Caenorhabditis elegans: one gene and its partners. The protein of the gene in region 1 purifies or fractionates together with the protein of each later gene. This does not show direct contact. Each region holds a gene or a part of one and is shown in the gene's direction. Other genes may lie near its edges. The genes, in order: F25D1.5, Y49E10.18 and scl-2.

What was found.
Region 2: the proteins of F25D1.5 (region 1) and Y49E10.18 fractionate together in Caenorhabditis elegans (co-fractionation; one large-scale study listed by BioGRID). This does not show direct contact.
Region 3: the proteins of F25D1.5 (region 1) and scl-2 fractionate together in Caenorhabditis elegans (co-fractionation; one large-scale study listed by BioGRID). This does not show direct contact.

What each region holds. Positions count from the first base shown.
Region 1 is NC_003283.11:10,544,664-10,549,544, reverse strand, and holds F25D1.5 (DeHydrogenases, Short chain), read left to right. Parts: upstream 1-2,761; 5' UTR 2,762-2,792; coding exon 2,793-3,062; intron 3,063-3,105; coding exon 3,106-3,294; intron 3,295-3,341; coding exon 3,342-3,716; 3' UTR 3,717-3,802; downstream 3,803-4,881. Other genes in the region: srd-34 (Serpentine receptor class delta-34), read left to right, coding at 464-517, 865-902, 950-1,046, 1,093-1,239, 1,292-1,491, 1,538-1,695, 1,745-1,947; degt-1 (Acid-sensing ion channel 1), read right to left, coding at 3,803-3,924, 3,967-4,058, 4,205-4,296, 4,498-4,881.
Region 2 is NC_003281.10:12,443,475-12,448,412, reverse strand, and holds the start of Y49E10.18 (Fungal lipase-type domain-containing protein), read left to right. Parts: upstream 1-2,306; 5' UTR 2,307-2,311; coding exon 2,312-2,409; intron 2,410-2,712; coding exon 2,713-2,767; intron 2,768-3,022; coding exon 3,023-3,144; intron 3,145-3,419; coding exon 3,420-3,599; intron 3,600-4,431; coding exon 4,432-4,821; intron 4,822-4,938. Other genes in the region: ani-1 (Anillin-like protein 1), read left to right, coding at 1-308, 1,055-1,426, 1,478-1,738.
Region 3 is NC_003282.8:13,054,998-13,059,935, forward strand, and holds scl-2 (SCP domain-containing protein), read left to right. Parts: upstream 1-2,712; 5' UTR 2,713-2,724; coding exon 2,725-2,898; intron 2,899-2,949; coding exon 2,950-3,087; intron 3,088-3,257; coding exon 3,258-3,469; intron 3,470-3,901; coding exon 3,902-4,001; 3' UTR 4,002-4,065; downstream 4,066-4,938. Other genes in the region: F49E11.7 (Serine/threonine-protein phosphatase), read left to right, coding at 1-157; scl-1 (SCP domain-containing protein), read left to right, coding at 1,394-1,561, 1,707-1,844, 1,892-2,109, 2,165-2,264; scl-3 (SCP domain-containing protein), read left to right, coding at 4,631-4,673, 4,725-4,861.

The sequences.
Region 1 (4,881 bases):
CCCAATTCTGACATTTAATACATATTTTCGCTTATTGATTCGTCGTTAGACTTTTATTGGCAGTCTCATATTTTCCATACGCAAGTGATGCATTATCTAGAACTCGAAAAAAAAGAAATCATTTTTTGATACCGACAAAATTTTTCTGTCATAGCAACAGAACTTTACAAGCTCCTGCGTGCAATCATCGAATAATTAGATGTTTCGTTTTGTGTGAAATTACTCAAACTTTACTCTACTTTTCAACAAACAAAAAGATCTTGATTTGAATTCAAATTAGTTTTAACCGAACGTAGTTCTGATTTAAACCATCATACAGGAATAACAATTAGGTAATATATTACCACAGGGAGTATATATTTCCCCGAATCGAGAAAAATCTACCAGATTGTAAACATCCTCGTTACTTCTTGGATATTTTTCACAAAAATATTCTTATTACGAATTTCAGAATTTCTACCACATGGATGTATCCAATGAGAATGCCAACTCTAGTATTATGACAATGGAAGCAAATGTGAGTAATTTTTCTTTTTCCACCAATGGTGAGTCTCCTAGTTAGGTATTTATGAGGAAAAATCAATTGGAAGATTGCTTTTTAAAATAAACTTTTAAAAATATACTAAAATGCCAATCTTTCATTGCCTGTCATATATGAAAAATATCTGTGATTATCATTTAAGTAATTGCCAGTTACTTTAATTTCAGACCTTTTACGACACTGTCATATTTCCAATTTATTTTTGGGTTTATTTTGGTTTTACCATGTTCAGTCAAACTTCCGTCGTGCTTTTAGTTGTTTTTAAAACGCCCGTAGTATTCAAAGATTTTCGTGTCTTTCTTGTCAATTCTTCAACTTTACAGTTTTTCATGTGCATAATAGTTGTCTTCACACAAGTCAGGTTAGTTGTACGATAATATTAATTTTTAGCTAACACTGTTCCTTCAGACCTGTGAACAATCCAGAATCGTCAGCATATCTTTTTAGCGGGTTTTGTAGACACACTCATAAAAATGCTTGCTTTTTCAGTTTTGATTTTTTCCAGGTAAGTGTCCTGTAATTGTTATTTTTTACAAATATTCAAAATTCAGTTAGTCTTTGATGCCTCGTCCTTTGCAATTCCTGCTACATTGTTTTACAAATATACAAAAGTAACAAATATTAATATGAAAAACATAACTAAAAATCAAATCAGAATGATTCTTTTAAGCTCTTACCTTCTATCTTTAATTGTGGGGGTGAGTTTTGCTTTTCGTGATTGATCTAGAATGGAAATATGAATGTTTCTAGGTGATCTATGTGATAACGTACGAACCAGACGAATCTCTTGAGGTTGCTTCAGAGACCAGGAAGTTTCATTCAACACAATATGATTTCCGGTACTATGCGGATATCACTGGATATCAAAAACATTTTTGGAGCTGGTTAGCAACAAATTTGAATATGATAAGCATTTTCGTCCCACCAATCATGAGTATTGTGTTTATTAGGTAATAAATTTGAGTTTCGAAGAAATACTTACCAATGTGTTTCCAGACTAATACAAATTAAACTCAACAGTTTAAAACATTTATTTACTGATAAAACTGCTGCTCAAGCCAAGAAGTTTGATCTTGCTTTGACGATTCAGACACTTGTCCCTGCAGTTTGTGTGATTCCTATATACATAGCTCACTTAATACTTGAGAATTATGGTAGGCTCCTGTCCGTTTTTACAGTAAAATAATATGTGACAATTTTCAGACTTGCCGTTTCTCTCAAATTTTGAAAAAGTTCTATATATGATGCTTTCTCTTCCAACAGCTATTGATGCGTTCATTGTTATTGTCACCATCACACCGTACCAAAAAGCCTTTATTGCGTTTTTCAAGGATACGTTTTGTGGCAAAAAAGTTTCACCTGCAATTGTTAGACGTAACAATATTTCGGCTGTTTCCATTTTTTGAGCATTTTGAATAATTGGTAATGATAGTGGTGGACTAATCGGAGTAGTAATCGGAACTTTGCTCAATTGAATAAAATAACATTGTTCAAAGATATTACACAAGCACTTTTATAACAGTAATAAAAAATACCGACAAATGAAAAACATTGTTCGAAGATCTGCAAATAAAAATAACGATGAAAAAATATTTACAGTTCAACATTACACTTTAAAATAAAGTGCCAAAGCTCTCAAACAATTATTGTTAAACAAGTTTTTGGATCTAGAGAGACTATTCACCGTATTTCCTCACCAAATTAATTCATTTTGACGTCTAGTGTCGCACTACGTTTTAACGATACTAGAAATGTGTTATTAAAGCCCTAAGAAAAAGCTTATTGTTTATATTTTGCTAGTTGGCGAATGTCTGACAAAATTAAAAAAACAACCGAAAAATAAGCAGCTAAAGATGGAGAGATGGGTGCAAGACTATTGGACACGGAAATTATTTTTTTTTTAAGCAAATAAAATTTTAAAATTCCTGAAATCATAGTTGTGTTTTCATATTGAAAACTTGATCAATTGATCTTCCCTCAACTGTGCTTGCACAAAAATAGACACAATTCAAAGAGACGCAGAGGAATTAACAGTCACAAAAATTGTTACACTGTCTATGGTCTCTTCGGGAAGTAACTTTGAAAATACTCTCTACGTAAACAGATATTTCATATTTTAGTCACGGAAACTACAAACTTCCATTCAACCATGAAATAATTTTAACTGCAATGAGTATAAAAAGAAAACATTAAACTGCATTTAAACATCACATTCATCTGATTGACATTTTATTTTTGTAATCTCAAAATAATGGCTCGCTTTTCTGGAAAGTCTGTCATTATAACTGGTTCTTCTAATGGAATCGGAAGATCGGCTGCTGTGATTTTTGCAAAGGAAGGAGCTCAAGTTACAATTACTGGAAGAAATGAAGATCGCCTAGAAGAAACCAAACAGCAAATATTGAAAGCAGGAGTTCCAGCTGAGAAGATTAATGCCGTGGTTGCTGATGTTACCGAAGCATCAGGACAAGATGATATCATCAACACGACTCTTGCTAAATTCGGAAAAATTGATATCTTGGTATGTACATAGATAGAAAATGAAATATACTCAATTGTTTTAGGTTAATAATGCTGGTGCCAATTTAGCTGACGGAACAGCTAATACGGATCAACCAGTGGAGTTGTATCAGAAAACATTCAAGTTAAACTTCCAAGCTGTGATCGAAATGACTCAGAAAACAAAGGAACATTTGATAAAGACAAAAGGAGAGATTGTAAATGTTTCCAGTATCGTTGCTGGCCCACAAGCAGTAAGCTTCGGGAGAGAGGATTTCAGAACTTTTGTTTTAATTTTCAGCACTCTGGATATCCATATTATGCTTGCGCAAAAGCTGCGCTTGACCAATACACCAGATGCACTGCAATCGATCTTATTCAACATGGTGTCCGCGTAAATTCTGTCAGCCCTGGAGCAGTTGCCACTGGTTTCATGGGAGCGATGGGTTTACCAGAAACTGCATCTGACAAGCTTTACAGTTTTATTGGCTCACGGAAAGAATGCATTCCTGTTGGGCATTGTGGAAAGCCAGAAGAAATTGCCAATATCATTGTATTCCTGGCTGATAGAAACCTCTCATCTTACATTATTGGACAATCGATTGTTGCTGATGGAGGATCAACTCTTGTTATGGGAATGCAAACACATGATCTTATGTCCGTTCTTAGTCAGTAAACTATAACTTTTTTTTTCAGATTTTGTTAACCATTGTTATCTAATGTAATAGTCGTAAAATACACAATAAAATACATTGAATACTTTTATATAAATTGTGGTTTTAGGAATATATTACTTTTCTTTCGTTCACAAAGAAAAACAAGAGTTTCTGCTGCAGTTAGAAGTGTTGCTCCAACATATAATCCAATGGTTCCTCCAATTTCGGCTGAAAACTTTCAAAGTTACAAGCACATCGAGTAAAACTCACCAAGAAGTAAAAATAAGTTGTAGGATCTTTCTTGAAGAATAGTCTCTTGTTTAAAGTGTGCAAAATAGAACTTGATGTGAAGAAGATTTACTCTGAAAAAAGTTTGTTCCGTTGAAAGTACCAAGTTTAATGTTTATTTGCACGCATACACTCAATTAGAACAAGACGTCACGGCGGCGTCGTTTGCCATCACTGAGCTCACCCTACTCACAACTCAGATTACGCTTAAAAGACTTACACATCATATTGAGGAGTTGGAGAATATGACTGGGCCATCAAAACTTGGTTTCGAAGTCTTGAAAGCCATTCGCCACGGATGAATCGAGTTTTCTTTAAAATATAGAAATTAAAATCAGATCTTGATTTTTAAACTTTGAAATATTTTCTTATTTTATGTATTATTCGATTTTCCCCGTTGATCTTCTATGTATTACATTTTGTTACTATTTATCAAATTTCGAATAAACAAACAAACAAATAAATGTAATTTTTAGGTATTTTGAATATTTCAAAGTCAGTAATTATTCTTGCCTTTAAATTTGGCGCTTTTTCGTGAAGTTCATCCAAACATTTCGAGAAATTTGAAAATTTATCACTGAAACTTTCATCTGCAGCAATTCCTGTCAATACTGCAAACTTTCTTCTACTTTCTGTTGCTGCCAAAAAGGTTTCTGATAATTCATTCGCCAATGCTGGAATATCCGTAACCATAGTTTTTCTTAATTTTAGCATTTCTTCAATTTCCACATGGTCTTTTGCTATTTCTCGATACGATGATTCAAATTCTTTTAAATCAATTTTAAAATCTTTCCATTCACTCATTCGAACTCTTGTTTTTAATATTTGCAGTTTAGCCAACACTTTCTTCATGGCTTCTGTGTAAAGTTTAAATGATTCCGAATTTGGATTTGTTTT
Region 2 (4,938 bases), on another chromosome or scaffold:
CCCAGTTGTCAGTGAACATGGCTCGTGATTATGTGTCAGCTAATATTGCGTCAAGCAAGAAATCCGATGAAGTCTTCTATTTCGCGGCGATTCTCCGCTACGGCGAGCAAGTCGACGTGTCGAAAATGGTGACAAGCGACGGTGGTCTGAATCGTCGTGGTGTTCTCGAGTTTCCCGTACCACTGATGTTGACCGGGATTCCACCGGATTTCCGAGCAACTGTCGAGATTTATGGACAACGATCGATGCGAGAATCGACGTCGCACGAGGATAAGTACAAGTTGAAGAATTCGACGTTTAAGGCGAAGGTTTGTTTGTTTTTTTCCGAAATATTTGTCATATTTTACATACTCGTCCGTTGAAAATTCGAAATGTCTGCTGCTATAGAATATCGACAAATGGTGTTGTTATGATGTTGTTGATGAGTGTGAGCATGAATCGAGAATGACAGCTGCTGAAAACTTAGCAAGTGAGGAGAAGAAGAGAGTGCCCCTACCCTGTAGATTGTGGAGAAGATTGCATGATGTATGTCTGTTTGTTTGTTTGTTTGTTATTGTCAAATGTCTTGTTCTTCTGTTTTCTGTTAATAATGTATCATAACTTCATCTTCTTCACGTTCCGGCAAGTGGTACATCCATGCAAATGCGCTCTACTGATAATTTGAGTGTAGACCAGGTTTGGGCGCGTGATAACGAAAAAAGCTTTGGTCCAAAAAATGTAGAATTTAATATCGGGCATTTTTTATATGCATCACAAAAAAACTGGACAACTGTTTTTGAGATACACGCGCCCAAACGTCCAGGTATACGGTAGACAAATTGCGTACAGGTACCACTTCTCGGGCCGTGTTCTTAAAGCCGCACAGATTTATTCATATGGGTCTCGGCGCGCCGTTGTTTTAAGCGAATTTTTCGCTACATACTCGCAAGCAATTTGATTGCAAAATGGAAAATAAATGAGGTTATCATGCGCTCCGAGACCCTTCTGAATAAACCCGTGCGCCTTTAATTAGACGTGTATATCAATAGAACCTGGAAATAAGTAATATTTCTAGACTCGTAACACATTCCTGGGCGGCGGATCAACTTCATCAGCAAACCAGAGCCTATTCGTCGATCCAGCAGCATCGTCATCATCAACTTCGTCGACCACATCCAACTTCAATTTGCTCGGAACATTCTCGTTCGACATCAATTGCCCTGGAAAACATTTGTACAACATGTCACATACTGTATATCCGCTCGAAGGTATTACACAGATGAAAGTACGCAAACAGGCGATCGATGGAGCTGATATCACTTATCACGGATTCTTGTCAATGTATCAGAGAACTGGCGAGGGGCTCGGATCGTGGACGAGATACTGGTGTGCTCTTGAGAATGGAGAGATGAAGTTTTGGAAGCAGCCAGAAGATGAGGGAACTAAGGTTTTTAAATTTTTATTTTTTTTGTCTAAAATTAAACTTTTTTTATTGTAGGGTTACACTGCACTAATGGATCTTTCAACGTGTTGCCGTTCCGAAGGTGCATCGGTAGTTGAAGACATTTGCCCATTCCCGAATAGCTTCCACATTGATGTTTGGGCTCCAAAAATGGATACATCGGATCCACGTGGCATTGAGCGTCTTCGAGTTATGCTGGCGGCCGATACAGCTCAAGATCTTCAAACATGGCTGTCACTGATCAATTCTACGTCGAAGCAGTTGTGCACGTGGAGAAATCCGATTGTTAATCAGTAGTCCCCCCCTTTTTTGCAAGCTTTGTGCCTGTATGTATCCCCCAGTTTTTCCCCTCAGATTTTTTTTGACAAATAATCAAATGTTTTATTATTATTCTCGTTACTTCTCTCTCTCTCTCCATGTTTAGCTTCCTTCTTTTCTAGAATTTACTCCCTTCTTTTTTAATCAATACATCACTGTCCCATTATCATTATTCCACTCTTTTTGGGCCTTTTTCGATTTATTCGAAAATTTTAGTTTCACAGTGCCCCTCACCATCGTACACTCTTACAATTAATTTTCGGTTTTTTTTTTGTTAAAATAAACATTTGGTGAAAGTGTGAGAAAACAGTGGTTCCGAATAGAATGAAGAAGACGGAAAGAAAAGGAAATATTCAAGTTAAAAATAACTTTAAATCGAACTAGATATGCCATGTAATTACAGATAAAAAGTTCAACTTTTTTTGCGAAAAATGTTAAACTGTGCTCAATTTTTTGCTCCTTTCAACTGATAAGCTTTCACATGTGCGCCGCCCAGCGGAATTTATATAAAATTCGGGTTTCTTATCAGTTTTCCTATTTCTTTAGGAATCGATGCATTTTCTAGTCTATTTTTCGATATTCTTCACGATTTTAGGCGCTCAGCTTGTGGAGTCAAGCAAGTGCTCCGATTGTATTGCTTCGGGGAAACAGTGAGTGTTTAAAATCGAAATGCAAATGCGCTCCACCGCCAAAAGTTGGGTCTCGTTAGGTCTTTGGAGACAAAACCGGGAATTTCAATTTTTAAGTGGTATTCGAATGATTCAATAGATTCAAATACCTACCGAGACCCAAGTTTTGCCCGTGGAGCGCGCTTGAACCTCAATTTTAAATAATTCTTTTTTTTTTGCCCACCATAATAGCATAAAACATAAGCGGAAAAGTGAGGCAAATTTGTAAGAAGGTGTAGGCACAAAATGGCTTGCCCGGCATGTAACAATTTTTTCGAATTTCAGCTGGTGTGTAACAGTTAACGAATGCGGATTCTCCCCATGTTTAACATCAATTTCTGTAAGTTATCTTATCAATCACAATTTCACGTGGTGCCAGAAAGCCCCATTTTGATTTGATCTCCGAAAAGTGCGGGAGAAGAGACGCAGAGTTTTCAACTGATTTCGCATTGTTAAGAACGTGCTGACGTCACATTTTTTTGGGCGAAAAACCCCGCATTTTTTGTATAACAAATCGTAATGGGACAAGTTATCTTATCAATCACGATTTGATAAACTGATTTTTTGTAAACTCTACAAATATAAACGTTTCCAGAAAGCACTAAACTGCCCGGAACTACCTGATAAAGCACACGCGTATGATGATACATTTGTGAGAACAAAAATTTTATTGACAACTGCTGCCGCATTCAATAATAATCCACAGAAATGTTTCAAGTGAGAAAAATTTTGACACGGGGTTCTGGCCTTACTCATTGAATTTTTCGCGCTCCGTTGACAATCACCAGCCGAACTCCATATGGACCAATAGATTCAGTTTTACAACTAGAAACGCGACGCGACGCGACACGCAACGCGCCGTAAATCTACCCCAGATATGGCCGAGCCTAGTTCGGCAAACTCTTCCATTTCAATTTATGAGGGAAGCCAGAAATCCGTGTTTTGAAAAAATAACATTTTTTTAAACACTACCAACGGCGTTTTTTTTCCAGAAACTCAATGCCAACAATGACACTATCCAAAACTTTTAGTGTAAATTGCTCAGAAGTTGGGCCACAAACCGATTGTTTCGGTTTCACATCATTCGATACAACACAAAAAGTCGTTGTCATGTCGTTTCGGGGAACTCAAGGAGCCACACAGTTGACTGAAGAGATTTTGGACTTTTTTACGTGAGATTGAATTTATTACGGGAACACGGAATTCTGCGTATTGCACAACATATTTGACGCGCAAAATATCTCGTAGCGAAAAGAAAACTACAGTAATCCTTTAAATGACTACTGTAGCGCTTGTTTCGATTTACAGCGAAGTGCCATTCTCATTCGTTTCTTCGTATTATTTTCTCACTTTTTGCCTAATTTTAATATTCAATCGATAAATAAATGATTTTAATTCTTTTGTGCCCGTAAATCGACACATGCGCTACAGTACTCATTTAAAGGATTACTGTAGTTTTCGGTACGAGATATTTTGCGCGTCAAATATGTTGTGCAATACGCATTTTCAGAATTTGTCGAAAAATTTTAAAATTTCGAGTAAAAATGGTTAAATCCAGCTGTTTTTAAGATTTTTGCGCCAAAACCCAATACACGGTCTCGACGCGACAATTTTTTGTAAAATGCTAAAATGTGTGCGCCTTTAAAAAGTACCGTAGTTCAAAATTTCAAAATTTTTATCGATTTTTCGTAGATTTTCGTCCGTTTCTTTGAAATTTTCTGAGTTTTATAGAAAAAAAATATGAAAAATCGGTTTTTTCATAAATTTTTTCATATTAAAATTTTTCAAACATTTTTCATACAAAAAAAAATTCTGTAAAAAAAACCAAAAAAAAATCTTAAAATCAATAAAAAAAACCAATCAGCGATTTGCTCCGCCCACATTCGGACCAATCAGAGCAAGTGGGCAGAGTTCAAAGATGCTGATTGGTCGGGGAATTTAGAATTTAGCTAAAATTTTAAAAAATCGTGTTTTTCCCTTTGTGAATTTGTTGAAGTTTTGCAGGGGTAAAAAGCCATTTTTCAATGATGCCGGACACATTTTCACCTACTTCTACGATGCATTCTTTTTCCTCTGGAATGGAGGTCTTCAACAAGAAATTCGTCGACTAAAATACCAATATCCAGAGTATGAATTATGGGTTACTGGGCACTCACTTGGTGGAGCAATTGCATCGATTGCAGCTTCTTATGTTGTCCATTCAGGACTTTATACTGGTGATCAAGTGAAACTTGTTACGATGGGACAACCGCGAACCGGCGATTATGATTATGCTGTTTGGCATGATAAGACTTTTCCGTATTCATTCCGAATTGTTCATCATAGGGATATTGTTCCACACATTCCTCCGCAATATGGAAAGGATGAGCTTTTCCATCACAGAACAGAAGTTTGGTTAGTTTTTTTTCTTCAAATTCACGAAGTTCCGGCCTTCCTCACTGCATTTTTCGCGCTCCATTGACAAGCTGGACAACGCGTGGGAAAGTCGTGTACTCCACACGGACAAATACA
Region 3 (4,938 bases), on another chromosome or scaffold:
TGATGAAATCACTCGTGGAGATGATATTCCTAATTTGGAAAGAAAAAAGTCGGGTTCAATGCCAGTCAAACATTTGAAAACATCGTCGTCGTCGTCGCCGTCGCACTCGAACGGCAAAAGCAAGGGCGGAGAGGGGCTTTCTCTTGGAAAGATTTAGACTGAAATTAATAGTTTGTGTATAATTTCCAATATTTTTTGCAAGAAAAGTGTAAGAAAAATTTTGAATTTTTTGAATTTTCAGGTTTTTTTTGACAAAATTCAGTACAAAATGAATGACTAAAATGAATAAATATTTTATTTGAAAGATAATAACAATGCAAGCGTTTTCAAACGTGCGGTATAATTGTTTCTGACTCCAATCATTTAGACCAAACAAAAAAATCAAATGATGATTTCACAAAAACTACAGTAGCAATAGTTCCATCTTCCCTTTCGATATCCCAACCATCGGAACAATCAAATTCTTGAAAACCGATTCTGAAATTGGAAATTGATACCGTATTTCCTATGTCAGTTTAGCATCCCTACAGATTTTTAAGTAAATTAGAAATTTATTCACTTGTTGCCAGACCTACACATTGTTTGAAATAAATAAATAAATAAATAATTTTTTTGCCAAAGAACAATCATTTTTCCTTTTTACCACTAATACCTGTATACTTTTTCTCGGCGTACTTCGTCCCATCGACTAACTACTATTTCATTCAACACCACTACCCAATCTCTTATTTTGAAATCATGGTCCAAGTGGAATCTTCTCAATTCTTTCATGTTTCCGTTTAATCAATTACGGATAAAATGATTCAAGTATTCTGGAGTAAAGCTATGGTTCCATATTGTCAGTTCTTCACACTTCATCAATTTGAAGTCCTCAAGTGTAAATCCTGGATTGAAGTAAGAATCCAGTCGGCGAATATTGAATAAGTTAAATTTAAAATTACAGATAAATTACGATTTAGTTTATTATAATTATTAATATTAATGAGGAAATCAGTACTTACTATATTTTTTGTCAAAGTATAAAGTTTTGTTAATAAAGTTTTGTTCCAGTTTTTTGCTTGATTCTCTAGTAATTATTCGAGTACAAACCAGGGGTGGGCGGCAAATTTACCAAATTTGCCGAGTCGAAAAGTGTGTGGGTTTGAAGCCCGATAGCATAATATTTTCAGTCCGGCTGATCTTTTTGATATCCGTAAAAAGCTCAATTTGTTGTTGTTATTGACCAAATCGTTTGGATCATTTATGAGTTTTCTCTACAATGGACAAAAATAAAGATTGTTGTTGTTTACGTTTTGCAAATATTAAAAGTTATTTGAAAATCTCGTACTTGATTAAAAAACTCCTCTCATAAAAAGCAGCACGTTTGCAACTTTAAATCATAATTTTGTTTGCCATGTACTTCATTCTCTGCCTCCTAGCAATTGGTGTCAATGCTCAATTCACTTCAACTGGTCAATCAAGCATTGTGGATGCTCATAACAAATTGAGATCCGCTATTGCAAAGAGTACCTATGTTGCGAAGGGAACCAAAAAAGAACCAGCAACTGATATGAGGAAAATGGTAGGTTTTAAATTGCCCAATTATGTCAAATAAAAAACTTAAAGTTTTCTTTTTTCAAGAGTTTCAAGTCATTCAAGTTGGGGTAACTTTTGGCAATCATATTTGAACAAAAAGCCCAATGATGATACTTCAATAAACTTTTCAGGTCGTGGATTCCACCGTAGCTGCGTCGGCTCAGAATTATGCGAATACGTGCCCAACTGGACACTCAAAGGGAACTGGATATGGGGAAAATTTGTATTGGTCTTGGACTTCTGCGGATGTTGGATCCTTGGATTCCTATGTGAGTCGCATAACTTTTCTGGGACAGAAATCAATAATTCTTTCCAGGGAGAAATCGCCGCTGCCGCATGGGAAAAGGAATTCCAAGACTTTGGCTGGAAGTCTAACGCAATGGATACCACCCTATTCAACAGTGGAATAGGACACGCTACTCAAATGGCTTGGGCAAACACCAGCTCCATCGGGTGTGGAGTCAAGAATTGTGGACGAGACGCATCGATGAGAAATATGAACAAAATAGCTGTAGTCTGCCAGTATAGTCCACCGTAAGCACTGAAGTTTTTGATTTTTTTTAACTCAAAATTGTTCAAAAATATTCAGAGGAAACACTATGGGACGGCCGATTTATAAGGAAGGAACTACGTGTTCCAGCTGTTCCGGATCTACTAAATGTGACACTGCTTCTGGGCTTTGCGGATAATGAGAGATTTCACTTTTTGTGTCTGTAATTTTTTAATTTATTTGTTTTGTTTTAATCTGGGAATTAATTTACTAATGAAGCATTTGTTTTTTCTTGGTGATTATATAAAAAAAATAAAGCGAAAACTTTAAATTACACCAAACTTTTTTAAAATTTACGAAAATGCACACAACATCAAGTGCAGGCAAAAGTAAAACATTCTACTTGCCTATGTGCCAACAACAAAATTAGGAAGAAAATTCACTTCTTCCTAATCAGAATACTTGTTGACTTGACTCAAATGTTCATAATTACTGATAAAAGTCAATTCTTTGGTCTTGTGCTGCCCACTTCCGATCATACGTAGCTTACGATTTCTCAATTATCATACAATTTTACAGGTTTTCGCGTGATAAGACTCCTATAAAATGAACCGCAGTGATAAACATATTCGTGTTGACTTGCACTTTTTTCTCCAATTATGAATTACTTGTTGCTGGTTGTGGCGCTTGCTGTTGGCTGCTCCGCTGATTTCGGCTCTTCCGGACAAAACGGAATTATCAATGCACATAACACTCTGCGGTCTAAAATTGCAAAAGGTACCTACGTGGCAAAAGGAACTCAGAAATCGCCGGGAACAAATCTGTTGAAAATGGTATGTACATAACTAAGGTTCTCAGATTTATTTTTGATTTCAACTTTTCAGAAATGGGATTCCGCAGTCGCCGCATCCGCCCAAAACTACGCAAACGGGTGTCCGACGGGACACTCTGGAGATGCAGGCCTTGGGGAGAATTTGTATTGGTATTGGACAAGTGGATCTCTGGGAGACCTCAATCAATATGTCAGTCATTTAGTCTACCTTGTGCCTGCCTGCCTAGACCTACTGCCTATTTTGTTCAAATTTTGCCTAAATACAACATGCGAATATTGGCAGTAGGCAGGAGGCAGGCGCTTGATACCTTCTTTATTTTAAAAGTTTCTGAAATTTCTATAATCAATCTTTTCATTCAGGGATCTGCTGCGTCGGCATCATGGGAAAAAGAATTCCAAGATTACGGATGGAAGTCTAACCTTATGACTATCGATCTCTTCAACACAGGAATCGGACACGCGACTCAAATGGCGTGGGCGAAATCCAACCTGATCGGATGTGGAGTCAAGGATTGTGGAAGAGACTCAAACGGCCTGAACAAAGTAACCGTCGTGTGCCAGTACAAGCCGCAGTAAGTGAGATTTGTTGACTAGTCTATGTTGACTGTGTCTGCGAATGTTGTGTTTTGTGTTGTTCTCTAGGATAGGTTTGCAAAAAAGATAAATTTTTGGTCACGTTCCCTGAAACAAAATCCAAAAAATTAGGCAATTTTCAACAAATTTTGATCATTTTGAGGAGATCATTAAAAACAAAAAACCCAATAAAAATTATACAAAAATACGAAAAATATTGTTGTTGGCGAAAAGTGAACTGTGCTTCGACAACTGGTAAAGTAGTCTTGAACACTTTGTGAGTTAGGATTTTTCTGAAGAGTAAAAAGTAGTTTTAGGAAAATTAATTTCAACCGAGACAAAATTTTTAACATAAAAAAAAATTGAAAAGTGTATGTGCGAGAGAGCCCTGTTGAATACAAGCTACTGTTTGCTAATACATCAATTTTCAGAGGAAACTTCATTAATCAATACATCTACGTATCGGGAGCAACCTGTTCCGGCTGTCCATCAGGAACGTCATGTGAGACTTCCACAGGGCTCTGCGTCTAAACTTTAATAATGCAATGTGTTTTCAAACTTTCTGTAGATAATAAATAAAATTGTGTGCTAGTTGAAAACCAGAACACAAACAACCTTTGATCAAAATGCCTATGTAACAAATGCGACGATTACGTGTTCGAAATCCTATTGGCAGATTTGGAGTATAATGAGCAGTTAGAACTTTATTGGGAGGTCAAAGACTACTTGTGTCTAGAGATGTATCTAAGTTATGAAAAAAGTTCAAGCTATAGGTTTTTTGACTACGATATCTTGTATGTATTTTCAAAGATGTTGGTGATTTAGTTGAAAGTTAACAGCTTGAAAACGTTTTTATTTTTCCGTTTCTGACTTCCATGAATTTCAAAAAATTACCGTATGTCTGTATTGTTACTATCTACTGTGTGAAATTTCAAAAAATGAAATCCAACTTCAGCCTCCCTTTTGTATATAAAACAAACAATGTCAACATAAAACTCTTACCAATTTAGTCTATTTCTATTAAAGCACACGTTCTTTAGTTTTTTCCCTCTTCCCATGACTTTTAGTTTCCCTCACGGCGACGACGACATCCAGTTGTTCATACAAACTAAAATCTCCTATAAATATCCAACCTACTAGTTGTATTTTCAACAGACAACATGCACACCTTTACTCTTCTCGTTTTGGTTACCCTTCAGATTGGTAAGTTTTTTTTTTGGAAATTTTTGAAACTAATTTTCTTCAATTTTTCAGGAGCTTATGCTCAATTCAGAGAAAGCACTCAACAATTCATTGTGGACCTTCATAATAAGCTTCGTACTTCAATTGCCAAGGGAACATATGTGGCTAAAGGGACAACAAAAGCAGCTGGTAGTAATCTTTTGAAAATGGTAGGTTTTCGGCAGTTAGTTACTTTGTGATTTTCCAATGAATGGAACCTTCAGTTGAAGGTCTTTGCTAGGTTCAA